Struthio camelus: one gene and its partner. The protein of the gene in region 1 interacts with the protein of each later gene in a pairwise test. Links are inferred from orthologs where the notes say so. Each region holds a gene or a part of one and is shown in the gene's direction. Other genes may lie near its edges.

Evidence for each region.
Region 2: the proteins of PSMG1 (region 1) and PSMG2 interact in binary tests that used the Homo sapiens proteins (3 or more experiments, as listed by UniProt). The link is inferred for Struthio camelus from reciprocal best matches to the Homo sapiens genes PSMG1 and PSMG2.

What each region holds. Positions count from the first base shown.
Region 1 is NC_090942.1:123,298,804-123,315,066, reverse strand, and holds the start of PSMG1 (proteasome assembly chaperone 1), read left to right. Parts: upstream 1-8,888; 5' UTR 8,889-9,121; intron 9,122-9,145; exon of another isoform or gene 9,146-9,573; 5' UTR 9,574-9,582; coding exon 9,583-9,701; intron 9,702-10,003; coding exon 10,004-10,113; intron 10,114-11,827; coding exon 11,828-11,979; intron 11,980-12,357; coding exon 12,358-12,420; intron 12,421-14,882; coding exon 14,883-15,081; intron 15,082-16,027; coding exon 16,028-16,164; intron 16,165-16,263. Other genes in the region: BRWD1 (bromodomain and WD repeat-containing protein 1), read left to right, coding at 4,649-5,796. UniProt on the Homo sapiens protein: Chaperone protein which promotes assembly of the 20S proteasome as part of a heterodimer with PSMG2.
Region 2 is NC_090943.1:113,579,856-113,596,473, reverse strand, and holds PSMG2 (proteasome assembly chaperone 2), read left to right. Parts: upstream 1-8,698; 5' UTR 8,699-8,866; coding exon 8,867-8,941; intron 8,942-10,382; coding exon 10,383-10,554; intron 10,555-11,382; coding exon 11,383-11,441; intron 11,442-12,390; coding exon 12,391-12,509; intron 12,510-13,818; coding exon 13,819-13,992; intron 13,993-15,170; coding exon 15,171-15,291; intron 15,292-15,786; coding exon 15,787-15,879; 3' UTR 15,880-16,125; downstream 16,126-16,618. Other genes in the region: CEP76 (centrosomal protein of 76 kDa), read right to left, coding at 1,729-1,857, 2,567-2,664, 4,387-4,572, 5,681-5,905, 6,276-6,357, 6,682-6,837, 8,525-8,587. UniProt on the Homo sapiens protein: Chaperone protein which promotes assembly of the 20S proteasome as part of a heterodimer with PSMG1.

The sequences.
Region 1 (16,263 bases):
GACTTGAAGGAATACCCATAACTGGCAACAGATGCAGTTGGATTATTAGCTTGTTCTGTATTTTAATTGTAAGTTGTCAGTATGCTTTACAGTGGGTAAGGCTTTTTCTTCAGACTTGGGGTTCTTATGAGTTATAGTTATCCTAAAAAGGGAATGGAACATATCGTATGGGATTGCAATATGTGAGCTGTTACATACACTTATATACAGCATTTCTTATCCTCTAGACTTCATTACATAGCTTTTGTTTTTTTATTATGGTGCAAAGACTAGTCTTTCCCACCTTCCTCAAACAAAGCTGCGCACATTGCATGGCTTTAACATGTGGGTTTATTGGAATTGAGTAGGCCACAAAGAGCCGTCAAAAAGGCATGAGAATTCAAGGAGAAAAAAAAGGATTCAAGCTCTAGGAGTTTGTTTGTTTTTAATGCTAAACACAGAGAATTAAATTTTTTGGCTCGCATAACTTTGATTGGAGTTGAACCCTGTCATACATTAGAGTAAAAACCTGATTTCTCTTTTCTTACCCGTTCTTTATCACTCTCATTAAATTTAAGCTTTTACTGTACTGCACCTTTTATGTCCTTGAGTGCAAAGTGTTAATTTGTCTTCCAGTTCTAACTTAGAGCAAAACTCCTCTTACTCACATTTTGTCTCTTAACCAAAAAAAGAAAATAGGAAAAAATGCTTAATTCTCGGGTTAAAATGAATTTAATTTTATTTTGAACATACCTTCTTTAGTAATCAATGTTCATCTACTAGGTAAAGCTGCCACTCATAAAAGCAAATTCAGCTTTTTTTAATTTGCAATTGGCGCCAAACATTGGCAAGCATCAGTGTGCATTATAAGTTGCGTTGTCAAGGGCAGCATCTGTTTAATGACCATAAAATTACCAAAGATTTTAATGAGAATCAGTGCATAAACAGTATTTTTTCTTTGCATTCATACTCACCTTTTTACTTTAAAGTAGTTAATTTCTTATGGAATGATCTTACTTTATCTGGAAGTGATTAACCTCCCCTGCCATGTGTAACATCCCAAATGTTGAGGTGCAAATATGGCAGAATGTCAGTTGTGTTTTTGTGTGTATTTTTAACAGTTTAAATTGATGATCTTTTAAAATGCTTTAAATCAAATTAAGGGGGCCCATCTCAAGGAAAGTGTTAAAGCTATGGTAAGTATAGGCGAAGAGTGAGTATTCCTAAATTTCTGAAAGGTCATGAATATGCTCTTTAAAAGTTGGTAAGGATAAAGTGTAGTAATGAATACTTGTATTGTTTCGGTCTCATTGTAGGCTAAGCAGAGTCATCTGCAAAGATGAGGCTTCTGTAGACTGTTTACTTTAAAAAAAAAAAAAAAAAAAATTATCATCATATTTCCAGTATATTCGGAAGCAGTGGAGCTGAAGACATGGGGCCAAATTTGAGACCTTCTTTCATGAGAAAGGGGAGTACATCATTGTCCTGTACGTTGTTATTTATAGGCAAATAGCTCTCAGGCAGTTATAATTTACCTGCCTTTTTGTGAGCCGTTCCCCACAGTGTTCTACTGAAAAATTAGTTGGCTGTTACAGGAACTGTAGCTAATTTTGGAAAATATTTACACTAAAATACAAAGTATTTATTTTCAGTTTTAATTTACCTAACCTTTATCTAATTAGGAATATTATTGCAGGTAATCCAATAACAATTTTTAAATTAGCAGGTGCCTTCTATAGCTCATTTTATTCCTCAGCAGACGATTGATGTGACAGGTGCATTGTTATCGCAACCTGATTTACTGTGGTTTGCCAAACTGATGTATGAATTGTTCTTTTCTGAAGAAGCTGACGATTTCTGTAAATACGAAGCTAAGCAAATTAGCTCTCCTAAAAGTTATCTTTAGGTACTGCTGGAGTATACTTGTGCTTTTGTTTAAAAAAACAAAATAGTTTCCACATAAATTGAATAGTTGGTAAACTGGGTGTGAGAAACACTTTGTGGGCTGTGATATAACCTGCTGATTAGCTGACTTGGAGAGATGGCTGGATGTTCGTACCCTCTCTTGCGGTCTGGACTTGCAGGTTTAGAGTTTGGTATTGCGTAGTTTCATTAAGCAGATGCAAATTTTGGTGTTCTTATTGTGTGTGGGGATGTTCACTAAGTTATTCTGGAGTTGATTTTAATTCTGGTAAGAAGCTTGAATTAAAAATTAAGATCAGCTTTACACGTATTTGTGCCTAGTTTAAGACTTTGTATGTAAAGCATAGATTTAACCCAACGGCAGTGTTGCAGGAAGACTGGACTTCTGTCTTCAGTGGACTGTCATGCTGCTTTTATCCTTCAGCCTTGCATTCTGTCCTCAGAGTTTCAGCAGCTAATTCAGAAAATATGCATAATCTGTTGTGATGGTCAAGCTTTTTTCTTTAAAAGTATGCACCTTTAGATGCAAGTACCTAAACACCCATCTCAACTGACGAAAAGCTTGTGGGCATTCTTTCTTTTTTGTTGATTTTCCTTGGAATAGTTTAAAACTTAAGGGATTACCACTTGAAACGTGTATTTCTTCAGGTGGCCAGACGTGATTTGGTTAGCACTCAGTATTAAGGCTGGGCAGTCCTTTCAACCTTTCCTAATTGCCCTTCTAGAATGCGAGTGTAGCTCGAAAAGTTGTAGAGGAATCTTAATCCTAAAGCTGGGTTATGCATTTCTACACTTGTTAACTGGACAAAATGTCTCTTTGTACCAGTAACTTGTGTGTTGTTGTTTGCCGTGACTAGGAGGCTGCAGCATGTTGTTGTATGTATTTCCAGTATTTTCCTGTTTAAGATATAATTTAGCACTTTAAATCTCTTAAGTTCCTGTCTGCTCAGGCTTGCCCCATAATAACTGTTACAAGCAGCAGCCCTATGTTGCTTAAATGTTTGCTTAATAGTATTGGAAGACAGTATTTAAGTTAAGCTGGCCTTTTATAGTACTGAATACACAGTATTCAGCGGAAGAGGTTCTCCCAATAAAGTGACATAGTACAAATAGCAGGAAAAGTGTATAATTTCTGGAAACTATTAGAAAAGACAGTGTACGGACTAAATTAACCTCTGGAAATACCAGAATAGGTATACTGAGTTAGTACATGAAGTCTACCTTGAAAATGATGTTGTCTAGGTTTGGTGTCTGAAGAGATTTTTAATGTTGATGCTCAAACTGGACATTTTGAATTTGTGTTCTGTTACTTTCTTCAACTTAATTGTCCACTGTCTTTTATAATACATCTTTACTGTATTTATTCTTGTCAGAACTTAGGGAAAATATTACCCTATCCTTATTTCACAGGTGGGGGGAATCAGGGCACAAAAAGAGATCAAATGACTCGCCAATGCTAGCGCGATAAGTTGACCAGAGGAGTAAGGAACCAAACTATGGTTTTAAACCTTAGGCTGGTGTTCTAATGTCTGGGTGGTCATAGTCATCGTTCTCAACAGACGTTTGGCCTTGCAGTTCGATAGCAGTTCAAAAAGTTTAAACAAAATCAGCAGAGTAGTTTTCTTTATCTGTCTGTAAAAGAAGGTGAGAAAGAGCGTTTTCTCTGAAAACCTCATCTCAGTTGTATGGTACGGTCCCTAAACTTTTAGTTTAAAACATATTTAGCTGCCTACCTTTCTGCAAAGTAACGTATAGCCACTGCCATTATTTTTTCCTGTGCTTTCTGAGTGTAGGTTGAGAATCATTAAAGCTGATGAGTTTGATTTGGAATAAAATTGAATGCTTATTCTATTATGCGGAGTTGATAGACTAATGTTTTGATTATATTAGTGGACGCTTTCACAGAGCGAGTGCTTGTCCATAAAATCAGTAACTGTTCCAAAGAAAGATGTGATAGACATCAAACTTGGGAAAACTAAGTTTGCAAATGACATTTCTGCTAAAATAGCAAAATGCTATTTGTTTTTTATCAATTTTATGCTGATAAATCTACTTCAAGAACTTTTAGTTTGAGCAAGATCTATTAGAAGGTGAAGGTTTAAATCATTTGTTTTGGCAACATCATTCATATTATTTACAAACTGAATATTTATTTAAAACCCAACATAAGAAGCAAGTGCTGTCTTAAAAATACTGAGTCCAGTGTTAGAAGCAGTCTTACTGTTTAGGTCACTGAGGAACTGAGTAGTTTAAATGTTCTCTATGTATATGAAACAACTCTGAAATAGTGAAATCCGTCCAATGCTTGTGTCTGCATAAAATGTTACTGTGCAGTTTTCAGAATGAAGAGTCTGAAATGTGTGATAGTTCATTTTTAAAGGACGTTTTAGGAAGAAAATGACAGCTTTAACAGTGGAAGTATTCATAATGTTGAAGTGTTTGTTTGCTAAGTTAGGTAATTTGTTACCTGGAAGCTACAAGTAGTGTTATGGTAAAGGACGTTACTTTCCAACCCTTTTGATTACCTCAAAGCAAAGGCGTAATGCTACGGAGTAATGCTGAGAGTTAAAAGTGTTCCTTGGACTGATTCTGAATGTTTTTAATAAAGGTTTAATGTAAATTGCACATAACAATTAGAGTTGAAAAAAGCATTTGTGTATTTTATTAAAGGCAGTTGTGTTTGTGCTTAGTAAACTAACTTTTCCAGAAATGTAAGCCTTTTAACTTTCAAATCTTTATTTTATAGAATCGGCTTCTGAGGAGACTGGACAAAGTGGAAAAGTGCTCAGGAGCAGGACATGTATAATTAACTACAAAAAACATATAAAGCTGTCTAATGTGACGGAGAAGAAAAATCCACGCAGATGTGCTACTTTGGCAGCTAATAAGATTAAGATAATGAGTGATACAAAGGAAGAACTATCAAGCTCAGAAAGCGTTTGCACAGGAAAAAAGAACAGAAGGCAGCTTCATGGCAATGGATCAGCAGCATCCAGGAAAAAACTGATCAGCAGCTCCGAGATAGATGTTAGTTTAAAGTCTGAAAGTGAGAAAGAACAGTTTGCTGGCAGAAAAAAACTTTCTTCCTCTAATTCTGCTTTTAAAAGAAAATACATCAGTGAATCTGAAAATGAAAAAACAGATTCTGAGGCAGAGATAAAAATGACTCAAAAGCAGAGTGATGATAACCACAAGCAGCCACACAAAACAGTCCGTGCTGCCTCTCTTAAAAATGCCACATACAACTTTTCAGAGGAGAATTCCAGAAACCACAGTGTGGAAAATGGGAGAAATTGGAAAACTTCTAGTCGGTCAACTTCAGCCCACAACAACTGTAGAGTGAGCAGCTCTGAAGATGAGGCAGATTCTAAGTTAGCCAAACGTGAAACTAAAAATATCAGAGAGGTATCAAATAAAAAGTCTAGAACTTCTTTCAAAAGAGCAAAATTATTGAATGATTTAAAAGAAACAGCAGAATCTGAAACAGGGGGGAGGAAAGATGAAAAAAGCTCGGTATCGGAGAACGTGGAAACACCTGGGACCGCAGGAAGTTCAAAAGCCTATTTCAATTGTTCTTCTGATTCAGACTCTGGAACTGACAACAATAACTCTAGTGATGCCACAGAAACAAAAAAGAGGAAAAGAAAAGCAGAAGTCATTAGAAAAGAAATCTCAAACTCCAATTTGCCTAAGCCTTCCAGAAGACCCCAGCGAAGGAAATGTTGTAAACTTAATCAAGAAAATGACTCTGAAGATTTGGATTACACCAAATACAGAAGAGCTAATCGGCGTTCTAAGATAAGAACTCGAAATGGGGGTAAACGGACTGTGAGATACGACGATTGTGACGACGACGATGATAGAGGTTTAGATGATGTAGATTGTGAAACGTAACCTTAAAAAGAAAAGCCAGCACACTTTTTTTTTTTTATGGTAATAGCACTAGAACTCGTGATGGATGCTGGCTCTTCTTTGTCCTACATTTCAGGGAATATATTTATATTTTTCTATGAAAAAGTTATGAATGTGATTAGATCATGACTTTCTCCTTTTCATATTTTGACTTGCACTTGCCTGCCCATGTAGCAGCATTTAGCACAGATGCCAAAATGTGCCTCATTATAGGGGCAATTTTTTGTCTTTACTGGTATTTTATTACGTATAACAAGAGTTAAAAATGTTAAAACACTGCGCAACAGGTTAATAGCAGTATGTTGAGTATTATTGTTATGGGTGCTGCAATGGAATACTACCTAGGTCATACAACATTAACACATTCAAGAACAGATTTCAAACATCTCTAATGCTGTATGAAATCTTATACAATAGTAACAGGCTTATAAATAATACTGTACACTATAAAAATCTGGTGGATGCTAATATTGCATCAGAAGAGCAATGAATGGTCACTAGGTTAATAACATTACAGCTTGTATTAGTACAGATGGTAAATGTTCTGTACTTCCAATATTGAAAACGTACAACTAGAACCAGTTACCAGTGAAAAGCATATTTGCCGATTAAAAAGGCATCATGGTGCTGGTAAAGAGAGGGTTTATGCTGACAGGTAGTACTACATCATCATTAATGTGACTTCTATACTGTAAATTTAAGAATATGAAATGCAGGTGAACTCTTGGGCCTAAGGGTTTTTGTGTGTTTTCTTTATAAAACAGAAAAACAAACAAAACACTTGTTCTGTTTTTTTTCTGCGTGAAATGATTGAGGTTCATTCTTACATTCCGTACCTTTTTTGCTATTTTTCCATTGTTCTTCCATATTTAAACTTCAAGTGCTTTAGTATTACTTTGCTGCACTGATTAAACCTTATCGGTTTCTGATTATTGTAGTACCCTATCTACCTATTTTTGGAACGCGTAAGACAGCTGTTGTTGACAACAAATAATTTTTCTCAGAAGATAGGAAAATATTTCTTCTGTTAAAATGTATAAATTCTTGGATGGCCAGGTATCAGATAAGAGGAATGCACAACACCTAATTTGATTCTCTACTCTTATCCAACTCTTCCTGAGGTGTGCTTAGTTTACTAGAGAACTAACTGGTCAAGGAGCAGCTTCTGGCCTCCCCTTGGCCAGTAGGAAACTTGCTGCCACAGCTGTAGCTGTTTCCTCCCTTGATGACATGTACTCATGGAGCTGTGCTTGCTGAAGCTGTAAGGTTACTGCACAGCACTAGTTTCTTGGCGATTTCTGCTGCTTTCCCACTCTCCACCATAGCTTCCTGCCTCCGCTCTTCTGGGTCAGTTTCTCAAATGGTTGATTTATGTGATTCTTGATCTTAGTTCAAGAGGACGGATATGTGCTCATATATTTGTCACAACCCAACTTATTTTAACTGAAATAGCAAGTTTGTGAGTTAGTTTTCCAGCAGATGGGACAGGTACTAATATCTGGATGGGGAAAAGTCTTGAAAAACTGTAAGCAGTATAGCTGCATAATCAAGCTCTCATTGTATCAGCTTATGTGAATGGAAGTGAAGTAACAGAAAATGGAGTCCCAACCACTGCCTAACAGCAGTTAGTGAAAACCACTTCTCCAACAAGTTTGCTCATATCGTGTGCCAAAATGTGCATCAGCCATCACATCATTTTGGTATCTGATTGGTATCTCAATATAGAGAAAAGCCTGTTCCCCCCCCCCCGCCCCTTCCTCGAGACTTCTGTATGAAGTCCAGTGATAACCTAGTTTGTACCATTTTTGCCCTAGGAGCTTGCTTTTTTAATTAGAAGTAGTCTTTATTAGTTTAACTTTGTAAATTCAAAGTACCTGTTTATCTGAATATTTTAAGGTGGTTTCTCAATAGGGACACATTTGTGTTTAGTACTGAAATTTGGCTCTTTGAAGTGGCTTTGTGTACCTTACCTTATGAGGAGCATCTTTGTTAAAAGAGAATAAGCAAATTAATCCATAAATGGAATGAATTGTTTAGCAGCTACTTATGATCAGTGTTCTATGAAGTCTGACTGCCAATGTAGGGGCAAAAAAATGAGTATAATAGCTTGTAAGTGAGCTTCAGAATTTTTATTAATCTGAAGTTTAAACAGCTGAAATTGGGCTGGTAGGTTTGTATTTCTAATTCAGGCTTAGATTTAAAAAGATTCTTTTCTTTCTCTTCCTTTTCCAGGTGTTGTATTTTCTATCATACTGCATTTTTGCTCTTATACGTTCATGATGATCCTAGAAAGCTGAGCACAGGTTCTGGCCCCCGTACTCACATATCTGAGAGGGAATTAATAGCTTATGGACCATAAAATTTTATGTTACAAGCAAAGTAAATGCTGTTTTGTACTTTATGATTTTATTTATATGGACAGGTTGCAGAGAACCAATAGGAAGATGAATACTTGAACTCTTTTTTTAACCCTCTCGGAGTTTGTGAGCCCTTTTTTTTTTTTTTTTTTTTTTTTAAGCAAGTGTACTTAACTGTTGTCACAGGTTACTACTTTTAAGCCTTGCAGAAGCAGTTCTTTCATCTTCCTGGAAACTTAATCATTCAGCACTCTTTGTCTGGTCTAGCTGCACTCAGGGAAATAAAGTGATTTAGTAGACCTTTATTTAAAGCTGCTTGATGTAATGCCTTTCTAAGCTGTTTTTTTTTTTTTTTAAGCAGGACTTGAATCTGAGATAATGAATAGGCTAACAAGCAGCACGAACAGAGGAAAATACTAAAGATGCAGGACAAAAGCATAGGAGAATCAAATTCTTTAAGTACTACTAAGACTTTCATTATGATGTACGTGTAGAAGTGGACCAAAGTAAAGCTATACATACAACTGTAATTTCACTGTATTGTTATTTGCAAACCTTTGGTATGTTTAATCTTGCTGTATCGGTTTTTTCTGTCTCTGTATGCCGTAAGGAACCCAAAACAGGTGCTGTATTACCTCCCTGCCTTTGAAGGAACCATCTGCTCCGTTGTTACTAATGCAGCTGGGGGGGTGGGAGTGGGCTACCTAAAGTAAACATGCTGCTGTCATGGCTACGGTGCAGCTTGTAAGTGACGCAGGCCTTCAGCTCTCGGGGGCCCTCAGCCATTAACTGTCTAGTTCTTCTCTCGGCTGCTCAGCTTTTAATAAGGTAGATACTACTTTAGATCAGATACTGCCTTCTGCCTGCTAAGAGAGAAACGCACGTAAATCACGCTGGAAACCCGCAGTGGTGCTCTCCTTTCCCTTCCCCTCCTCCTCTATCCTAACCAGGTAAGGGGGGCGGGGGGGCTCCACGATCTGCGGCGGTGAAGGCAGACCCCAGCCGCGGGGACCCGGTGAGGCCGTGCCAGAGGCCCAGGTGGCGGCGGGGCAGGGCGGGGGCTTTCGGCCTTCCCCCCCCCTTCCCCCCCAACGCGTGCTCGGAGCTAGCCGCCGCCGCCGCACGGGCCTCCCCGCGGGGCCGTCTCGTGCCGCCGCCAACCGGCCCGGGCGGCTCAGCCGCCGGCGCGTGACTGGGGTAACGCCTTCCCAGCGGCCGCCCGTGGGAGGTCTCCTCGGCCTCGCTCTATGGTCTGCAGGGCCAGAGCGGCAGCAAGCGGGGGGCGGAACTCCATGGTGCGGGCGAGCGAGAGTGGCTGGGCGGTGCGCGCGTGCGCACTGCCCGGCCGGCCGGGGCATGACTGGCGTTCGGTACTGACTGAACGGCGGGGGCGGGGGGGAAGAGGGGAACGATGGCGACGTTCTTCGGGGAGGTGGTGGTGGCGCCCTCCCGCGCCGGCGTGGACGACGAGGAGTCGGCGGAGGAGACGCTGGAGGACCGGGAGATCCGCAGGGAGCTGGAGAAGAAAAGGTACCGTCGGGGTCGGGGGGGGCTCAGAGCGCCGCGGAGCCCGCCGTTCCCTGCGTTGCCATGGTAATGCGGTGCCCCCCCCCGCCGAAGGAGGCCCGCGTGGGGGTGGGAGGGGGGCGAGGGTCTGCGGCCCGGCCCGGCGCCTGGGGTGAGAGTGCGCCCGCCGGGGCCGCAGGGGCCGGCCGAGGAGCTGGCTGTCCCGGGTAAGGGGGGGACACCTTCAGCCTCCGGTGGCGGCGGCGAAGCTTTTTGGCTGCGCCGTAGCCAACTCGGGCTCCGGTTGTCTCCGTTTCTTTTGGTAGGGAGGTCGACGTCCTCTGGACCTTGAAATCGGGAGCGTCGACGGAAAGGGCTGCAGAAGAGCCAGTTTCGTGCTCGAGGTTTATAGTAGCAGTAGGGCATAGTGCTGCAGGTAAGCGTTGCAAACTGAAAAGCAGCAGCGGCGACTCTTACATAGCCTTGCTCTTCTACTGTTGCCTAATACTGGAAAAGTGGGAGGTTGGAAGGAGGTCTGGTAAGTGTGTCAGGACACTACGAACTCCCTTTGCTGTGGTGTGATTTAACACCGCTTTCTGTAGCGACAATTATCCGTAGGTATGTCCAGTTTTTCATTTAGGTGGCAGGGTTTTAAGCCTGAGGCTGTTGAGAAGATCTGTTGAGAGAAATCCAAGGTTAGTCGACAGTATGTACGTACACAGCACGATTCTTTTACAGCTGCTTATTTTTGTCAGATCCTTTCTGATCACGGCAAAAGTCTTTAGATTTTAATTGGGGCAGTCGCCATTTTCCTCTGGATGACTTGTGTTTGGTGGACTCTCCTGGGCTACATGTTACTTTGCAGAAATTTGCTTCTGAAAATAGCAGCTTGCTCTGTGTGTTCTAGTGTTTTGAAACAGGGATCTATCAAGGATGTAAAATTATGGCTCAGTAAGCTATAACACTTCTGTTTATACTTCAGAGTTTCATCTGAAATACTGTGTATGTGTGAAATAGCCTGGAGATGCCTGAACAGTATTACATCTGCTGTTCTCAGATTGCTCTATACTAACTAAACAAAATATGTTGGTTTAAGTCCTTACTTCACATCCCAGAATTTTAGAAAAACTGCTGAATGAAGTAACAGGAACAGTATTATTTAACTCTTCCTATTTGAGTACAGGAAGGTCTCGGAGGTTTTGCTGTCCCCGTTTTGGAAATGTCTTTGTTCTCAGCCCATTTTACTCTGTAGTAAATGACATTTTAGTTTAATATTCTTGACAGAGTCTTGAATACAGAGATTTCTGACTTTAATTTCTTCTCTTTTTTTTCTTTAACATCTAATGAACAGTAACTTTACTTATTTTCCCCCCCTCAGTCTCTTTTCTCACAGTTTTATTCTTCGCGTGTTCGTAAAGCACTCTTTTGAGGTGTTTATTTACCTCTTAGACCTGGAGTCTTAAGACTCTCTCTCCCCTTCCCACACCCGCTTACCTAGGTCTTGAGTTTCTGAATAGCTCTTTCACAGCATACAGAACGAAGTTCTAAGTCTTCTCTACGTTTAAATCTCCCTGAAGTCCTTATTCTAGTTAACTAATTTTTTTCCTTTGATGGGTTTTCTTGAAAAATAACTACAGATACATTTTAAATCCATTTTCTGTTTCACTGAAACTCTTTTGATTTATAATCATTTGGCTTAAGGCCTCTTTTACTACCAAGTCTTGCATTCTGTTGTCCTTGTTTTCTAAAGCCGGTAGAATAGGTTTGTCTTGTTGACTCAGTGATTCTTTTTTGGAGAAATCTGTTGAATTTGCTATGTCAAGAAGTATTAGAGGTTTAATGTTTAGTAGCATTTGTTCTTAGTGTATGCTGAATGCATCAAAGTTGACTCTAGCAATATAATTCCTAATCATGTTTTTGATGGTAGAGATCTTTATGTATCTTTGGTATTGTTCTTCTAAGTCTCAGGGCTGTGAGGTTATTCACGTTCTTGATTTTTTGCTGGATTTGCTCAGTAAAAAAATAGGTAATTATTACATCTCCTCAACTTGAGGAAGAATTTGCAGAAAAACAAGCTAATTTGGTTCAGGTATTTATTTGAAGAACAGATGTTTTATTTCTGTATAAATTAACGGTCGCGTTCTTTGCAGCTTTCCTGTCGTCTTTTATTCTGGATTCCGTATGCTGGGAAGTAGTTGGAGCTATGAAATTGTGGAACGAATGGTGTCGAACATCCAACACAACAAACGTCCTCCCGACAGATTCTTTTTGTTTGTTCTATCGGTTAATATCAGACCCGACAGTAAGTGACTTATGCACGAATTCATCTGTGTGTTAACTTTGTGAAGAAAGAGCGATCTCCCCCGCCACAAATCATTAAGGTTGCAGTGTTTTGGGTTAATCCCATCAAAAATTGGAGGGGTCATATTTCTTTCAAATTTACTCAGTAAGACTGCCTGGAGTTCTGGCATATGAAGTTTGATGTAAAGAAGGTGTATGACAGGGCTGACTGCTTCACACCAGCTGTGAATCAAAAATTGTTGAAATAGGGTGGAACAAATCCAAGAATATTGAGCAAGTTGTTGGCTGCAATCACATCATCTTGACACGTGATTAAGAGCTATTATCATTGTGCTCTTTAAACCACTTCTTTACACATCTTTTTTGTTCTTTTTTTCAGGTTTTACTGTGCCAGTGCAGTTGCTATGTTGCCGAGGATCAACAGTTCCAGTGGCTTGAAAAGGTAAAATTGATATGACAACAAATGGTCCTGTAAATAATTGTTTTCACTGGGGCTTTCTCTTCTCAAGTACTAAACAAACGAACAAATACCCTGTCTGCAAACGTTGTGAAATTCTTTTCTAGATCCTGCTGGTTATATCTCCTGTAACTCACCAACTTTGGGCAACTATTGGAGCAGTTGCACAATTTTGATTGGAGAGTCTTATTTTTGTTATACTTTCTACTTTCTAGCCCTTTTTCTTGTTGGGCTTAAATTCTCTTTGGCTTTCTTCAACTACGTTTCAATCCTGGGAGAATGCTTCCTTAAAAAATAATAACATAATTCCATTTGTACAGCTGCCAAAGGATTCCCAAACAAACCTGTCTTGAAACTCATGATGGATGGTATTTTTACTGACAGGCGTGCTCAGTTTCTTTCGCAAGGTGGAATTCTAAACGAAGGTGGCCCCTAAAGCACTGTCTGTCCAGTTTGTTTGTATAATCGGTTTGCTGTATAGGCTGCCCTTGCATCATTCAAGTGCATGGATGCTGCTAGGTCTTTACGTCTTTCCAAATTTCTTAATGTAGATTTTAGTAAGATAAAACCAAGGGGATAATCTGGCTATAGGTTTTCTTTATTCTGTTTAGCCTCAAAGAAGTGTTATTTATTCTGTTTTGCTCTTGGTTTGCCAACCTTCCTTCCTTTAATTCTTTACTGATCTGATGAACAAGCAGAGATGCTAAATCTATTAAGTTATGCTGAAGTTGTATAAATCTGTGGCTAGATGGAGGAGTGAGATGCAAAGCAGTGCATTCACTGAGAGCAGCTCTTTTGCCTGAACCAAATGGCATCTGCTCAGTCTAACCTGCCATCTGGCTGAGCCAGCACATCAGAAGGACTGCTTGGATGCAAGGGACAACCGTACAGGGTCACAGCGTGAGGGAACCAGAAAGATTATGGGAAGGCAGAGAGGACAAAGTGCTGGGGTAACTTGACTGGGCAATATAGGGTCTTGAGACACCTTTGTTTGTGGAAAAGTAGCCTTTGCTTGTTGAAGAGTTAATTCAGTTTGTTGCAGGGTGAGGACTGGGAGTTCACTTTGTAGTTTAGAAACTTAAGATGACCTTAAGCATTTTGTTTTTGCTATATTCCACATGTCCTTGTGCTTTATATAAACTGGGATTACAACAGAAAGATTAATGGTGGCTCTGCTGTCATCGTCCGCATTCCTGTTTTTCCAGCTATTTGTGTGTATATATTATTTCAATTGTGTGCGTTTCTGAGTGGTAGTAGGAGCGTACAGTTTTGCCAGGTTAATATTGCTGTGTATTTTTTGCCTTTATGGTTCTTGATATTTTTAAACGTACGGCAAAGATGTTGAGCTGGTAATCTTGCTTTGAGTGTGAGTTACAGACCTGTTCTGCCTACTTTGTAAATTCTAATTTACTGAGTGTTACCAGAGTCTTCAGTTGGATTTTCACATCTACGTTTGTCTTCTTACTAGGTGGGTACTGAGAAAATGAAAACACACAGGCTAAAATTTTGCAAGCAAAGTGCAGCCCAACCAGTTTTTCCAACAAAGTAAATGTACTGTAACTTGAAAATGCGTGCTTCTGAAGAGTTATGTCAGTTTTACGTTATAGTGATAACATACTGGTGTGAGGGAGTAGTCAGCTCTTCTTCTGTGATTGGTACAATATACAGAAACAGGTGGGTTTCTGTAGTGTTTATCAAATTCTGTGTTTACTTTTTGATCACAAATCTGAAGAGGATTGTGCAAAGGAAGATGCATGTTTGTCATAATCCTGCTCATTTTGACTGACGTTCTTTAAAAACAATGGAAGGCTGTGCAGCATCTGAATGTTCCGTGATGGTATGCAATGGATCCAAAACCATGTTTTGACAGAGTTTTTGAAACTCTTCTCTTTGAATTCAAGAAAAACTGAAAAATTAAGCTTCTCTTTTTCAATTCTCAATTCAAGGCGAATATAATCAAATGAAAAATCTGAGTAGTTAAAATGAAGAATCTTCTTAAATGTTCTGTAGGACGTCTGGAGAGCAATACAAGCAAATATGAGTTTAAAATGTCTGCAGCTTAGCAAGCTGCCTTCCTGTTATAAGTGGCCTTTTTTCATATGGAGTGCTTTTTCTTCTCACTTTCAGCATTACGGAAAATAGTAAGTTTTAATATATTTGCAGGTGAGTTGAAAGTGCCGAAAACCAAAAGCCTCTCACGAGAATCAGAAGACTTGGTAAATGTGTTAGCTGTTCTTGAGGTCGTCTTTCTCTTTCTATCCCAGATGCAATGCACGTGAAACTTCTGTCTGAAGTTTGTGACTCAATTGTAGTCAGTCATGCAAACTTCAGTTAAGCTGCCCTTTGCCGTCTGCACCTAAATTCAAATTTGATCTTTTTATGTGTTTTTATGCTATTATTGTGATAGGATAAACTTTATTTATGTTGGAACTCCATTTTTGTTTCAGGTTTTTGGCTGTATGAGAAAGGAAGGCTTGCAAGTAACCATTCTTTCAACATGTCCTGTAGCTGATTATAAAACTCAGGAATCCACCTTAACACTTCCATCTCCTTTTCTGAAAGCCTTAAAGACAAAAGAATTCAAAGAACCAGTCTGCTGCCCGCTGCTGGAACAACCTAACATTGTGCGAGATCTTCCTGCTGCTGGTATTCTGCAATTTCACTTATTTACCATGTTGCTGACTACTGCTGCTCACAATAGAAAATATGTTTTGAAGAGCATCCCGTTAGAATTAGAGTATTTACTTAATTATATGAGTTAGCTAGCAAGTTAGCTTTCAGAAGTTAGTTCCTAACAGTTTGACATCTTATATATTGCCTTGTAAAATACGAACATATTTAAAAACACAGACAAAAAATTCCTTTTATCCCTTAAATATTGGACATAAGAACTAGCAAATTCTGCAGGATATCTTCATGAAGTGTATTGTGTATTGGCTGTTTGAAACATATTTAGTCAATGAGAAATTAAAATGCCAAAATGCCTAGTAAGTGTTATTTTCATCTGAGCACCATACTTGAGGCACATATAGTCCTTTCTGTATGCTATGAGTGATGTAGGTTTCACCGTGCGACTGATGGACCTGATATAAAAGCTAGATTCAGTTTTATTCTTACATAATATAATAAAACTCTTCCAAGGCTTTTCATTACAAGGCACTAAAATAATAGTAGCACAATGAGTAAAAACTTGTCTATCAGGAGCTAAAGGGAGAAAATTTTCCAAGAAAAAGAACGTTTTTATGTACTTTCTTACGTTTTGAAATTTTATGTCTCTTTTTTTTTTCTTTTTCTTAAACAACAGTTCTTTTATTTTTGTTTTCCAGTATCATGTAATTTCTGGTTAAGGTATTTGCGAGGAACAAATGCCGGCTATAATTTAATACTTTTGGTAGCTCAGTTTCTTGTGTACCTGGAAGAATGAGGGATGCTGCACTTGCGGGCAGGATCCTGAGTATTTGATAAAGTTCTCAATTTATAAACTTTAATTTTTTTAAAGTTCTGGCCAGAACAAAATGAGATTTTACTTGCAGAATTGAGATTTCTTCTCTGCTGAATTTAATACATGGTTTTTTTTTTGACTTTTACTTAGTTTTGAGTTATTGCCAAGTATGGCAGATTCCTGCAGTTTTGTATCAGTGTTATACTGATGTCATCAAGCTGGACACAGTTACAATTGAAGCATTCAAGCCTCTGCTGTCTTCTAAAATCCTGAAAAATTTAGTCAAGGTAAAATTTTGTATTTAAAAATTAATGGAAGGTTCTGTCATCTTGATCTGTCTTTCGTCTCTGTTACATTCTGCCATTGATGTGCCTCTGTGAAGAGAC
Region 2 (16,618 bases), on another chromosome or scaffold:
GATTTTTTTCCCACTGGCTCTACCTCCAGACTAAGAGTTCAAACGCTCCAGACTAAGAGTTCAAACAGTAGGAGCACTACAGGCTGAAGTCCATTTCCTTAAATGAGTGAGGAACTGTTCATGCTCCATCCACAGTCAATTTCCACATGTCATCAAGTCGGGGAAAAAAAAAAAAATCGAGTTTAAAAGGTAGTGATTTGCTTCTGAATTTGAACACTACCTCCTCTCATAACACCAAGAAGCAATGAAATTTAATCACAATGAAGTCCACAGATTTACACAAACTGAGAATGGAGAGATGAATAATTCTAAGAATTTCTGATTTCTTGGAAAAAATGAGAAATAAGACTGGAAAAAAGTCTGCTCTACCATGTGTTGCAGGGAAATACTATGATTATCAACTATTAAAACTGTTTTAAGCAGTACCTTTCCTCACTGTGCCAAATGGTACTTTTATATTCCTGTATTTAAAAAGGCATCAAAGCTTGTTATATTTCTGCAGCTTCAGGAAATCATGGTCTGATATTTTTATACTCAAAAGTTATCAGCTACTGTGGTCACATACTGCCCACGTTAAGGTTTTGTCATGTTTTTCCAGCAGGTTGGTATAAGAAAAGCAGCAGCTACTGGAAGCTGACTGGAATCCTGTAGGAAATGAATTCACAGGCAGAAAGCAAGTAGAGATCACAGTCAGGACTCCATGTGTTTTCCAATATAGTCTCATATCTGTAACGCATGCTTCCGTACTATGCATACAAAAGTGGATGATGATGTGATAATTGAACTTCTCTTACAATTCTGATAATCTCATTTCTCTATTTCCACTGGCATTTAGTCTACCATTATAAAGCTTTACAGAGATTGAATAAGATTATTGTCGAGTGATTTCAAAATGCCACAAGTCTCATTTTTACCCCATGTCCCCAACCAAATTTCCAGTTCCACAATTCCCAATCCAATCACAGGTTTTGCTTCCCTACATACCCTGCTTTGAAAACTTTAACCCTAATTTGGAAGCTCACCTCACTACTGAACACTCACTGCACAGCCAGAACAGTAGTTATTTCACTGAAAAGAATCAGTAGGTACCAATTGCTTCAGGAAGTGACTTTGAGATAGCAAGCTACCGCACACCATCCACTCTAGGAAAACTGCTCCTATTCATGTTAATTCATAGCACAGTAAATGCAAAGTATTACACCATTTCTTTTACTAAGGGACAGTTACCAAGGAGCAACTGACACACAGTAACTTATTCCCTTAGTATAATTTGTTCATATGTCTACAGCTAGCCTGCAATTCTAACTGGCCAAATTACTTTACAGGCCACACAGATCTCAAATACTGAGTGGATCATGTAGCATGTCTACTTTTTATAACTGTTTCAGCTGGTATAAAACCTGTTTGAAATAGTTTGTATAAACCACTTGAGTCTTTGTCATTTGTGAGAACTGAAAGGAAAGACTAAACCAACTTTAATTTGTACACTGGGGGTTGTAACGTAGCCCTTATTTCTGTATCGTTAAGCTTCGATAATATGTAAAAGTTCAATCCTCAGAAACTTCATTCTTTGCATGCTACACCAGCTGTAGCCCTGACCTGACTGTAACCACATCATAAATCTATACACATTCTACACACATAGAAACTTCAAAATAGATGTACAAAATATAAGATATCTACAAAATAAGATAAGAACAGATTGCTCTATTAGTAGAATTTACAAACCTGTGCAAAAATCTTTACTAGCCTTATGTTGTGCGTAGGCCTAATCTGTAGGTATTCTCTCCACCACTGTTTAGCATATACAAGAAATAATCGTTCTTTTTCTGCTGTTTTCTGACGTTCCAAAGAAAACTGCAGGTAAGAAAACAAAAACAAAACAATCCCACATATATTAACTCCAAAGACAAAAATCAGAAATTAATAAATATATTAACATCAAATCCTGGCAGAGGTGAAATAAAGCTTTAATATTTAAAACATGCCATACAAATGAAGAATTGTATTTTCAAACTAGAATTCAAGGAATGAAAACCTCAAGTTATGTTTCTTATTAGAAGGCTCATGTAAGCTCATATATCAAGCCTGACTGAAACGGTGTTCCTCTTTAGCAACACGTTTCTGCACAGGATTGCTCGGCTTGTGAAGTGTGGAAGAAAACCTGCATTTACCTGCAGGCCAACATTTACTGGCTTTACAAGCAGGAAAACTGACTGTTTAAATGATTTTTCAGATGAGGGAGAGAGCAAGGAAACACAGCTACTATCTGCAGAAAATTGCAGTGCAGTTGAAGCGCATTGCATCTTTCTTATTTTTCTTCTTAAGGTTTTGATAAAGGTAATTTGAAAACTGCTACAGTAATATTTCACATAATGATCAGTATATAAAAATAGTTTAAGAAAATGTAATTATAATGTAATCAAATTAAAAACAATTAATACGAGACATTCAAAAACCTCACCGGCATTAACATCTACGTGAGTAATTCTATACTGAGTTTTTCCCTCTCCCCCTGCCCATATAAAACAAAACAAAAAAGTCAGCCCACCCAGAAATCACTTACTTGAGTATTAGTGATTTCTGGAGACAGCATCTTATTTAGCTGTGGATACATTTCAAGCCTGATGTTTAAAACACCGACAGAAACCTTTGATTCTGTACCTTAGAATCAAAATACATTTTGATTAGTCTTTTCAAAATCTTTTTACTTACAACATTCCAGCCATACAGGAACAAGAAGTACAAAAAATAATGCCTTTCAACATATGCAAAATAAGTATCTTTATTTAAATGTCACACTAGAATGAGCCAAATGACACTGAAAGAAAGGGTAATCAGACTGAAAAGAGAGGTATCTACATCTTAGACAATTATCCAAGTTCCATTTACAGCCAACACCAGGATATATGATGAGTAGCGTTCTAGATGTGCCTAGAATAGGTACCTAAAATAGATCAGGTGAATCACACTGAAAAAGTGCCTGTTTCTACTGACCACACAGGTAGATCAGACGTAGGCAGTTAAAACTGAGTTAAGTTAATCTTCCCTGAGATACATTGTATTATGAAGGACCCAGTACGCTATAATAATACATTAGTCAAAAAAACAAAAACACTATTGCTGCATAAAGCTCAACATTTAGAATTAGATAAACAGTAAGAAGAAAAAAAAAATCAGAGAGATGGGATTATAAGTAATACGAGTAACAGAAGCCTCATATAGGAGTTTGTCTATCTGAGATGACAGTATCTTTCCATATTATTGACGTATTTTGTACAATGACAAGACTTCGGAAGAGAAAAAGCACTGGATTTAGATATTGTTTCTTCATTATTCAGAAGAATTAACAGTAATTAGACTTAACTTCCCCTTCTCCCCCAAGTATCATGCTCAAATTATTTTGTATGCATTTCCAAATAATTATAGACGAAAACCTCTCTACTTGAAAGCCTACCCAAAGCCGTATTACTTAGTACGCTTTGTCAACAGTCAGCATATCCAAAAGTAACTAATGCTGATAAAAAAAATATTAGTAAATAAGGTTACTAGATTTGTGTCCAGTGGATAAACACTGCACTAAACCATCCCCCAAAAAGCAGGTAATAGAGATAAAATTTAGGAATAACTTACATAGTAAATCAAATTTTCAAAATACTTTGCAGATATAATATCTTATGAAATTAGAAAGGACTGCTTGCCTAACAGGTCGAGAAACTGTGATAAAGAACGCTCAAATGGCTCATCAACTACTACTTGCCAAGCCTCTGGGAGAGCTAGAGTAGGAAGTCATAATAGATTTAGCCCTGTATCTAGTCTTTATCTACTAAATCATAATATCCTGGAAACTCCTAAAGGGCCATATGCAGAAGCAATACATAAAAATACACATGTATACTGACTGTGAAGCACTTAAACAAAGCTGGTCCTCCATTCTAGCAGAAACGTGTTTCCAGCAACCAGAACAAATGGCAGCACAGCAGAGAAAACTTCATCTACCAGCTGCTACTTTGCTGTGAAAGGGACACACTAGATTTTACTCTTCAGTACACTAGCCTGAGATTTTCATGGATATTAATCAGTTGAATGCGGGGAAGAGGCAGGAAGCTTTGATAACTTATGCAGATTTTGCAAAAAACACATAGTGGAGAGTTCCCATCTGACAAGGGGACCACTATGACAGAGGGTCTAGAATACACACTTTTAGTATCTTGATAACAGTGAAAAATCTGACCATTGGTCTCCTATATAAATGTTTTCTAAAGATACCTTATATCAATTCATGAGTCTAACCATAATTAAACTGCATACTGCTTTGACCTTATAAGCAAGCTCAATAGCCAATATTTTAAGTGTTTGCATTTTACCCTTATTGTGTATTCTTACCTACACCAAGGAGTTCAACTGCAACATTTGTTACACCGTTCTCTGCAGCCAAGACAGATCGCCACTCCAAGAAATAGGATGCTACTAGTGTAGTCTCACCAAATGTGTCTGTTTTGATCAGAACCATATGCACTGGATCCGATATTGATAACATAGTGGTTGCATCCACCATTTTACTTCCATCACCTGCCATCATTAAACACAGACAGCCAGAATGTTACCATCCCAATACCGCCTTAAAATTAAAGCATATGCATTTACATTCCTTGCATACATTACCTTTTAAGAAAAGTGTAAGCAACAACAATCCCACCTTAAACCAAAATAAGATTAGGACAGAGCTACAGAAAGATTACAACTGATTAATTGACAGAGGCAATAAACAGATTTCTATATTTGCCTACTCCAGGGTAACTCATTTAATTGTACAAAAATTAAAATTGAAATATTATTAAAAAATAAGAAAGTTATTTTTATGTACTAATAAGTAAAAGCAACTGCAGATGCGTGCGTTATTATTTTAATAAGTGGTAACACTTCAGGTCAACTTACTATGCATCCATATTTAGGAAGCAGCTTCCTCTGTAGTTAAGCTCTGACCCTACGAGATAAACTGTTCCATGAGCAGCAGAATTAACAAAGCCTGGTCTTCTCCGAATTCGCAGTATATTCACTCTCTCTCACACAGAGGCCTGCTATAACTCTAGCCTTCTTTCTGTCCTCTGACACTCCATGACCTACCCTGAATTTCTACAGGATTCAGACAGTATCAGCCTCCTCTTCCTTTATCCCAGTACCTTAAGATTCCCCTGTTTATTCCAGAAACCGTTTTTTAAAACACACATAGCTCCCTACTATGTTCCCCAGCTAATAACAGGACAAAGACAGTATAGGCTGTGGATAACTGACTGTTCTGCAGGTGTTTGCCAACTAGCAGGCAGACTAAACTCACGCAGAAGCTTTTCCCTCCATACGATAAAAAAAAGGTCTCCTTTCTTCACTTCTCAGCACAAGGTTCAGGAAAACATGAATCTACCATCTTTGGCACTACTATCTCACTGTTACATCTGGATAAAGTCGGTTAAAAGTTACTTTGGAGTGGAAAAGAAGGAAAATAATAGGTAAGAATCAGTTCTAGATCTAGAAGTAGCGGAACCTGATACAGCAATTGTTTTTCTTAGGAATACATTATAAAAACAGGCAAAAAACATTAAATAATATCAAGCACATTTTAGAATAACTGTAATGTTAGAATAAAAAACGGCATCCACTGCAAACTCACAGTCTTCCTTACCCAGGCTATCCTTGTGTACTTCAAGTAAAAAACCATCATGAAAATCTGGCTCACAGGCACAGGGGACAGGTTTAGAACGGAAGCGCTGATTCCGAAAATGCAAACACAGAGTGAAGGTAGAACAGATTTGGCCAGGCAAAGGCTCCGGTTCCTGAAGATGTTCCAGAAAAGCTTTTCCGCCCAAAACCTGAAGGTAAAGATACCTCCGTGTTGGGTTAATATTAGCTGTAAAGCGTAGCAATAAATATGAAGAAACTACAAACAGATCTTAGGAAGTATGTTTAAAATATCTGTTATCTAAGTGGAGAATAGAAAAAAAAAAAAACTCTTTCAAAACAAGTGCTTAGGGGAAAGCAATTTTAAAACTTATGGAAGATAATATACAATAAATGCTATTTTATGTGCAACTAACTTCTGCTGTTTATATGAACCCACTTGCATCTAGACAAGTAAGAAAAACATCTATTTCTGCACAATATGGAAACTTTAAATGAATCCAATTCGCTCTGTAATATTAATTCAAAGAGCTCAATAAACCTGCACTTAATTTATTTTAAAACTATAATCCAAACATTAAAATAAACAAGCAACATACCTTTTTTCAGAACTGGTGGTTCTCTGTCAACAAAATGCGTAGATGGCTTTGGAGCTGAAGTCCTCTCCTTGTCATTCACTTCCTGGAATTGCAATTAGACTTCTTAAAGAATCAAGTGAGGCAACAGTGCTATTCCTGTTGTCTCTTAAAAATTAAAAGAATTCTCTCTTTCTACTGACTGTTGTTTCTCAAATATATTGCCTTGTAGGATTTAAGATGTAAGGGAACTGAACAAGTACTTTCAGTGTAATATTAACACTAAACCAACTCAGTACTTACAACTCAGTAAAGCTAATATAAGCACTTAGAAGTAATTGAGTCTGCACTTTATAGTAAAAGAGCTGTCATAACATCAAGTCGATAATAGGAATAACCAAAATACATTCATGTTTCAAAAGCTACTTACAGTTACAAATTTAAGCTCTTTAATAACATCATCAATGATTCCTCGCTGTCTTAAGGCTTTTATCAGGTCTTCCGTGGATAACTGTTGATGCTCAGGTGCAAACTCTTCACGTATAGTCTCAGCAAGAACTTCTCTGATCTTGCCATGAACATCCATCTGAACAGAAAATTCATCATATGCTAGAAATACATGTTCAAACTCTCATAAGCTTTGTAAATAATACTTCTTAATAACCCCCACAGTATTTAAATTCGCACTCAGCTGTATCACAGCAGAATGCAAGACTGGTCTCTTCAAACTTATTTTCATTTTCCTCCTTGATTGAGGCTTAAGTATGATAATAAGAATAAAAGAAATGAAGCTCCTTATATGGTCACAGTTAGCACTAAAACGTTTCTCTGTAAGGTAACGGGTATTCTCCTAGGAATACAGAGATAACTGCACCAAAAGAATACCTCTTTCTGCACATAAATGTGTACCAAACAACTTTTTATTGTTTAGTGAGAAGTACCGCAGCAAGTCACACTATCTCACCAAAGCAACTGCACCAGTTAAGAGCATTCCAAACCTGAGCATTTCCACTGCTTGTGACAGCATCCCCAGCCTCGAACATCCCTTCTCACCAACAGCCCTGCAAATCCATTGATTATAAAACTTCCATGCTTTTAATTTCTCTTCTCCCTCAAAATTCAAACTTATGGCAATGTGTGTATGGGAAATAAACTGAATGTTTTTGATCAGGTACATCCACCGTCCTATCAGCCCTGATGAGCCTCCACTAGCTGAACAGCCCAAGCCACTGTATCCTTATCGCACCATAGGATGTGTCTTCAACCATCAAAAGTTCTTTGGAAACTGTCAGCCCTCTGATGCTGTGGAGGTCTGCGTGTTTGACCTGCAAGATGAATCTAAATGGAAACCCATGAGCGGAGAAGCAATAAAATCTGTGTGTTCCCCTGGAACAATATCTTCAATTCCTCCTTTTCCTCCTCTTACTTTTTACAGAAAGGAAAAAAAAAACTTTAGATTGTTGCAGGTAAGGCATACAAATAGGGAGCCTCCATCGCAAGCTTTTTCTATGATCATAAAGCCAGAATTTCTGTACTTCGATGGCTCAGCTGTGAAACAGCATGTATTCCTAAAGTTGTTTCTCCCACAGGAACGATGCAAGGCTATAGCCACTGAGACACTGCGATACTTCCGCGATGCGAGCTAAAGCACTGATATTTCTCTCCCACTGTTTTCAAAACCCCGCCCTAGTTTCTCGCTCAACAAGCGGCGAGCAAACAGACGGCCTCCCGGTGCCTCCGGCCGCCGTGGCTCCCCCCCTCCCCCCGCCGCCTCCTCTCACAGGGCCGAAAACGCCGCTCCCCTCCGCCGGCCCTCCACGGGGCAGCCCCGACAGCGGGAGCGCCAGCACCGGGGGGGGGGGGGCGATGCCAGCTCCATCGCCCAGAAAAGGGGAAACGAAGGGAAAGAGCGAGGACGGCAGGAGAGGGCGGGGAAAGGCCGGAGGCCAAGGCGGCCGTTAGACCAGAGCGCTGATCCTCGCAGGCCCTCTTGGGGGGAGGGGGGGGGCCGCAAGCGCCAACATGGCAAAACAGCACCTCGGGAAGTACATGAACCTGCTGAAGTACGGGGGGGGGGGGAACAAAAGGGATGGGCGAGGGAGCGGACACGGAGCTGGAGGCGCCTCCCCCGCCTGGGCGGGCATCGCTGCCTCCAAGGGCCGGGGGGTCCCTATCACCGACGCACCGGGGATTTCTCCGAGTAGACGAAGTCGCTCCGCGCTCAGGACGGGCCCCAGTGCCCGGGGGCCTCTCCACCTTGTTACCGCCCTCACCTTGACCAGCTGCTGGTGGATGAGCTGCTTCAGCTCCGAGGCCTTCTCCGGCGGTAGCGACATGGCGGCGGGACGAGCCGCGACGCCCCGCACTCCGGCAAAGGGGCGGGGGGTGGAAGACCAGGCCGCCGGCCTGCGCGCCGCGGGCTAAGCCCCGCCCCCAACCGCCTTTCTAACGGCCGCCGCGGCGGGCCCGGCCCCGCCCCCTCGCGGGCGGAGCAGCGAGGGCGGCGGCGGTTACGGCCGTTGCGTTGGCGGCCGTGCTCGCCCACTCGCCTCACCGGGGGAGGGGGGGAGCCTGAGGTAGGAGGAGGGGGGCGGCTCTTTTCTCTTCCTGCCGGCATGTTTGTTCCGTGTGACCATGGCAGCGGCGGCCCCTCCGCCAGCTCGGACTTTGACGGCTTCACTCTGCTCGTGGTAAGTGGCCTTGCTGCTCCCCTCCTCTCGCCGAGGCGGCCGTGGGGAGGTGCTGCCAGAATGGAGCGCTCCGGGGCGGGGGTGAGGGACGTGCTGCTGCTCGAGGCCGTGGCTCTCGGGGCGGGGGGGGGGCTTCCTACAGCTGGGGCCTGAAACAGCGTCGGAGGCTTTGGCGGGCGCGGACGGGGGCTTGTCCGCGCGGCTCGCTCCCGCTTTGGGGGCGGCAGGCCGGGGACGCTTTCCTCTCCCCTGTCCGGAGGTCGGCCCCGGAAACTTCTCAACGGCCTGGGGGGAAGGGGGGAGAGAGGCTATGTACACTAGTCTTCAGTGGCAGATTCCTTAGCTGTGCTATATTTAAGCTGAGCTTGGAATTGGTTTAGAAAATACTTTAATAATTTGTAACGTGAAATCGATGTAAGATTAAACTGCTAGAGGTTACTTTGTGTATTGTAGGGTACGAATTCTAGTACAGGCTGTGAAGTAGCAAGCCGTTATTTTTCCTATTAGTAAGTGCCTTTACTTTATCATCTAAGGGTAACCTTATCGCCTTTCATCAGGGCCAGATCGCCCCTGATGACTGTGCATATTTACATGAGGTACAAGATTTTATACAGGAAGTCATTCCAGATCAGCTGACTGGGAACAGGAAATAGGTCATTGCTATTTTCTTTGTCTAGGAATAACAAGCTGTTGAGCACCAGGCAATTTGTAATGACGGTCTGTAACTGCTGTTACATCCTTTTTCGCTCTGAGGTTATCGGCATCAAATTCCTTGTGTTTCCAGGATTGCTGGCCCTTGGGCAGCAGCAGTTCATAGGCACGGGCTTGCTTATAAATGAGTGGGAGGCAACTGAAAATTTTACAGTTGTCTTCCATTTTCAGCTTCTGTAGAAGGACACAAACTCGCAAACTGAATTTTTCCTTGTATGCTCTCAGATTGGGTCAGCATCAGCTTTGATTGGTGATAACATATGCTAATTTACTTGTGTTTTTAGGACAATCTGGTATTTATAGATTTAACGTGCAGTATCGGCATTGCCATTCACTGTCACTTTGGGGCTGCCAATCTCTGCATTAGATTTTGGAGTGATTTTTATCTACTCTGTAGCCAAAAAAGGGGGGATTGGGGAGGACACGAGGACACCAGTCTCCAAGCCTTTTTTTTTTTTTAAGTTTATAATGAGACAGGATTATTGACAGAAGCAACCAGTATGTATTTGTGGCATAGGGACCACATTATATATTAGTAAGCTGTTAACAAGTAGTAACTTCTGTAAGAAAATGGTGCCACTTTAAGAAATCATATGGTTAACCGGAATTCAGCTAACTTAAGTTTTCACTGTTTGCAAAAGCATGCTGTATTGTCCATAAAACACGCTGCAATTCTTTAAGTGAATTATGTCTTTACTATTGTAATGCTAAAACACTTCTGTTACTTCAGCCAGCAGTGTCAGTGGGAAATGTTGGTCAACTGGCAATAGACCTCGTGATTTCCACACTGGACATGACTAAAGTTGGCTACTTCTACACTGATTGCCTTGTGCCAATGGTTGGGAATAATCCATATGCAACTGCAGAAGAAAACTCAACGGAGCTGAGTATAAATGCTGAAGGTATGTATTGAATGCAAGCTAGATCTTAAATATTTGCCTGTAGAAAGCAGTTGTAAGAATGTTTCTCCTTTTTTTTCTTACCTTTTAGATGAAGTTCAATAATAACTTTTGTAACCAAATCTCTGACTCGCAGATAAGAATGTAAATTTACACTTTGTGGAGGAAACTTACTTTTGTTATTTTGCATAAATAGTTTGAAACATGGAACCGGTAAGAAATGTTGAATCTCAACCATATTACAGTGCTGCTGAATCTCTCTGCAGTTTTAATCCTAGATAATGTGGAAAGTGTGTCCATACCTACAGTAAAGCATGGCATGCAAGCTAAATTAGAGTATAAAAGGATATTCGTCCTGTCTTCTTCCTTCCCACCTATCTTTGCCTTTTCCTAGTGTGGAGGGTTTTTTTTTTTCTTTTTTCTACCTTCAAGTTTTCACTTCCTTTCTGTGTCTTGATCATAGCATTTCAAATTATATTGTTTTTTCCTTTTAAATCATGGAAATCTCGAGATAATCTGTCGTAATCTCTGCAAAGCTGTATAAAGAGTTTATCTGAGTCACTGCAGGAGATAGTTTTTGTTTTGTTTTTAATAAATTTTTACTTCATTCAATCCTTTGTTTTTATGCCAAGTGAAATTAGATTCAGTGAAGATGATGCACAAAAATACGTATTTTTTTACATTACTGAAAAGCCTGAAATAATTCACAATTTGGTAAGAGAGCTGAAAGGTTTACCTCAGATTTATGGATTGGATAAATCTGGATACTTCTAAGCTCAGATCCTTTTTTTTTTTTTTTTTGTTATGCACTGTTTTATTTTCTCCTTGTAGTGTATTCATTACCTTCAAGGAAACTTGTAGTTCTGCAGATCAGATCACCTTTTATAAAGGTACGTATGTTCATTGTTCTCACTTCAGTGTTCAAGTTCAGTTGTTCTACTGGCCAGTAGTTTTCAAATGGTCTAGAAGAATTTACTCTATTATAATATCTTAAAATAAGCACAACTGAAAAAATTCGTGCTCCCTATTATGAAATAATGTCTTAACAGCAAAATATACATTTTAAAAAAAAAGCAAAATGTTTTTCTGCTTAGTGATATAACGTCTTCCGTAATTGATAAAATTTTAGCTAACAAAAGCTGTCTCCTACATTCATTAATGGTTGAGATTTGTTTGTTTGCTTGTTTGTTTCAAGCTCTGAAACAGCTCAGCTAATTCAGTAGAATTTAGTGAAAATATGTCCTTAGTTATTAACTGTCTTGACAAAACAATATGGTCTGTTTCCCGCCTGTTTATTTTTCTCTTCATATTTATTGTTTTTGTGTATTTGTCTTTTCTTAAATAGCTTAATTTTTGCTGTCACCCCCATTTATTTCCTGCTGTTCTCTATTCATTATATATAAACAGTTAAAATTAACTGTTAACTGTATAGTGGCTGTGATTTAAAATGGGCAGAACACCACACGAGAGTAAATTGTGTTGTAGTATTTTTGGCAGTTTAAATTGTGGGAAAATACTGTGGAATTTTATCATCCCATATTGTTCTAAAGGTTTTCCCGTTGATATTAATGGCACACAGAATGAGTGATACAGTTATTATTAATGTGGTTTTCATAATTTTTATAATTATACATATATCTTTGATTAAGTAAACAACCAGTGTCCTCTGCTTTTTAAAAATATATCTGAAGACTGAATGGATATGAAGAAAAAAAAATTTCCTCACTGCTGAACACTAAATATAACATCTAGTATTGTAGACTTGTGGCTTTTCTTAAGGGCATGAATTTTTTTTTTTTTTTTTGGTCTCTCCTCCCCCCCCTCTCTCTTTGCGTAAAGAACAAGTACAGGCCATTCTGTCAAGCACTGCTTTCTTGGGTGCAAACCAGCAAATGTGCTAGAGTTATTCTTCTGTCTAGCAGCCATGCATACCAGCGCGATGATGAGCAACTTCTTGGGTATGTGTGTGTCCTTAAATGATTTGATTGTTTTTTCTGTTATTTTTGGCAAACTGGCATATATACTTAGTACTTTTTGGCAGGGTTCTTTTGCTTTACTGTGTAGGTAGATCATAAGATACTTAATATATTATTAAAATAGTGTGTTATACAGCATTAGGCTCTGAGCTTTGTTAGTCTCCTGACAATGCTGAGCAAATAATATGCCATAAGTAAATTTCTGCTTGGCCTGCACCATCAGCCTCGATTTTAACAACTTAGTTTGTTATTGCTGCAAGCGCTGTCAGGGATTAGCTGCTAACATACAGCTCACCGATTAGATTTTTAACGTTTAGTTAGAATATTTGAATTTCTTACCGCTTCTTAATTATTCTGCATTTTGGGTTTTCTTTTTTTAGTAAGGTATCTTTTTATAGGCAGTTACCAATACTTACCTGCTAGGAAAAAACTACACAGAGTTTTATTAGGTGTGCCTCCCCCCCCACCCGTTAAACAAAAGAAAAAGCATAGCTTGATGATCGAGGCCTTGATAATCTATGACTTACCAAAAAAAAAAAAAAAAAAGTATTGTTCAAAATGAACAACTCTTATCACCAGGGTGTATAAATGTTCAGAGCCCTGAGGAGGTCTAGGTCTATGCATGTTCTAGATATAGTTACCATTGATTTTGCATAGAGTTTCTAGAGTGGTCAGCAGACATGGACTGAAATGAGGGAGACTGATGGTTACTTTATGTATTCCGAGTTCATCAGTTGTGGTGACTTACTCTGAATAAGTCTGATACCAGAGAGACACTAATGAGTGAAGGTAATGCATTAAGGAAATACTGAAAGACTTAACAGAAGTCTGCAGATATTTGTAGTTTAAGTTTATTACAAACATTATATCAAAGTGAAGCCCAAGCTTACTTTAACTAACTTTAATTGAATAAATTCCCATCGGAAGGAAGAATAGCCACCATTTCTTTTGTAAATCATTTTAAGAAGCCTATAACAGTTCTCCTATTTAAGTGCTTGTATATTTGATACCCTCTTTTTAGATGCCCAAATTGGCACGTATCTTGAATACTCAGGGGGAAAAATAATGGCTGAGCTTTTTTAATGCTTCTGATGCAGTGGTGATTTCTGAAGGAAGAAATTTATCTAACTTGCTTCAGATTCAAGTGTATTTTTGCAAAATGTATCATTTGGTTATATGTGTGGCAGAAAGTTGAACAGTACTTGATGCATGCAGCTCCTTTCCACCGCAAGTAATAACATCTATGTTGTCTTGTTTTCTCACACTGAACGTATTCTTGATTTGTTCCTAGAACTCCTCTACGCTACCTACTCACACCTGCTCTTGAGAAATCGGTGGAAGGCCTTATGCAAGGGTTAAAATGGAAAGAAATGGAAAAAGTAGCAGCTTACCCTGGAATAAGTGATACAGAGAAAGTTCTACATATACCAGGAGGTGGCATCACAAAACTATTGTTTACTGAGTGGTGAGTGAGCTGCATACAGAAACATATGTCTTGTTTTTAGTACATAGGTGAAATTGTTTTTTTAAGCTACTGATTCACTGGTAGGAGGCATAGGTGGATTTTGTAACATCGTCTCTCTTAGAAATACTTCCAAGCTCTGTTTTGCTTGTCTTTATGTTTATCCATTCAAGTGGAAGACTTGCTTTTAAACGGTGTGTCACACATTTTTATTTGCTGCTGTTTAAGTCTAGAGCTGCATCCCAAGTATCTCTTTATTCTGCCTCTTTTTGGTAACTTCTTCCATTTATTTGAAGTATCTTCATTTGATGATTAGAATGTTATTGTGTAGGTCATATTTTGATTTTTCAAAAAGATTTGGGCAAAAAATGTTCAGAAGCATTGGTTTTGGTTGAATGAGTTAGGTTGATGGGCACATGCTTTGATTTACTAATACTGCAAACTCATGGATTTCCTTCTTCTTCCCCCTCTCCGCTGGCCTTTTGAGGTAAACTGCACCTTTTCATTTGCTTTCAGATTGGGATAAACTTAAAATGTTCCATCTGAGATTAAAGCCTTTTAATTATGTCAAATCAGGTGTATTTAAGAATCCATGTGTTAAGCTTGATTATCTAATGTATTAGCCCTCCCTTCACTGACCAGTTAGATTCTAACTTACTTTTTTTTGTCCCTCTTTTTTTCTTTCCCTGTATTAATAACTATAATTATCAGTGAACTTCTTCAGCTTCTAAGTATCAGCTGTCTTCTACTCTGCCTGCCTGAATTTTCCTTCTCCATAATCTACTGTTGACTTCTTAAAGCGGGAATTTTATAAGTAAAGTAGTGGTATGCAGGCTGCAAAACCAATTTTTGAAATACAGTGAAAGATGTTCCTTGTATCGAAGGGTCTGTGTAAGTGCCTCAACAAGAGGACAAAAATGCAAACTAAGTGCATAAGCAATGCACTGAGTAACTCTTCCAAAGTCTGGGATTCCTGGCGCAGAAAGTCAAGAACAAACCCAAGACTGAGAAAACATGAAGCGTGCAAACACAACCAAGTGAAGCTGGGTGGTGTTGTGGGGGGTTGGTTGGTTTGTTTGTTTTTAGTAAGCCTTATGCAGATTGTTGTGCTTAATTCATAAATATCATTGTTCTGGGTTAATTAAAAAAAAAAAAAAAGACTCTGCCTTTTTTAATTGCAGTTGTTCAGAAGGAATCCAAATGGCAGTTCTTCTGAAATTCTGCTCTGAAGGCGACAATATCCCTGATGCATTTGCCCTTGTTAACTATCTTAATGAATGGCTCCAGCTAATTAAAAATGAAGTGAGTGCTGTTTGATCTAGAGTTCTTGCTTTCTTATTTTATGTCAGTTATTTTCATTTTTGGTTGAATTTAGAACCTTAGAAATGTTTAGCTATATTCTGCAATTTTAGACTATCTTTTATGGGTTGGGTTCACTTTGGCCTTTGGTCACAAGGATAGTGCCAAATATATTTTGATTACATTATATGTTATATTTTTTACGCTTTCCTAGCTTAAAATATGCAATCCAAAAATATAATAAAAATATAATATGACTAAAGCCATTCTGGGAATTCACAAGAGAAAAAACTAACCTCCTTGTTTGACAGGCGTGGAAGAAGTTGTCTGAAGGTTTGAAATGGTTTGATCTTACAGTAGTTTTCTCTAAAGCAATCAATAATTGGATAGACACTTGAAAGGCTGTCTATTGTTTTAATACATATGCCAGACATAGAACTATATTAAACTGCATTACAGTCTTAAAGCTTATAAAGAATTACTCTGTTCCTGTTGCAGAGCAGCAATTCTACAGCTATTTCTTCACAGTGGAAAATACCCAGTTCTTGGCGCTTACTTTTTGGCAGTGGTCTTCCACCTGCACTCTTCTGATTAGTGTCGGATTTTTTGTAAGTCAGCTGTATACATGTAACATCCCTTGAGAAGATGATTGCCTAGTAGTTGCCAAGCGGCAGCATCTTAATATCTTGTGTACGTTATTTAAGAAGCAAATTCCTTTTGCATATGTGGATAGCTGAAGAAATTAGATTAACTTTCACTTATTGACCAAAGAAATATGTTTTGTACAGTTGTTTATGGGAATACTGTTGACTTTTTTTCCTAATAAAAATATTTGGAAAAAAAACTTTTTCTGTGGTTACGTATTATTGCCATGGAAAAGATTTCAGTGCCCTTTTTGATAACAGCTGAGAACTTGAGATTGATATGCAGGTATAGATCTTTTTATGAAGATGAAACACTATTTTTCCTTGTCGACTTTGAATCTCCTTATATCATTAGGAGGGCTTTGGAAAAAAAGCTAAGTGAAAACTCAAAGGTAATTTTGTTCTGCTTTCTTTTCCTGATTGCTGCTGTGGTAGTTTCAACTGGGAGGCCGCAAGAGGAATAAGCTGTTCCATCTCTTCTGGTGTACTTCCACTGTGTTAATTTCCATTTGCCTTTCAGCAGCTGCAGAAATGCCAAACCTAAAGCTTTCTAGGTAGATAAGCCTTATTAGAAACTAATCTGAGCATGAATAGAGTGTACTAAGATTTAATGGAAGTAAAAAATTGCCCTGACAGCAGGCAGTCTGGTATCTGTGTATTTTATAAGCTTAGTCTGAAATACTAGT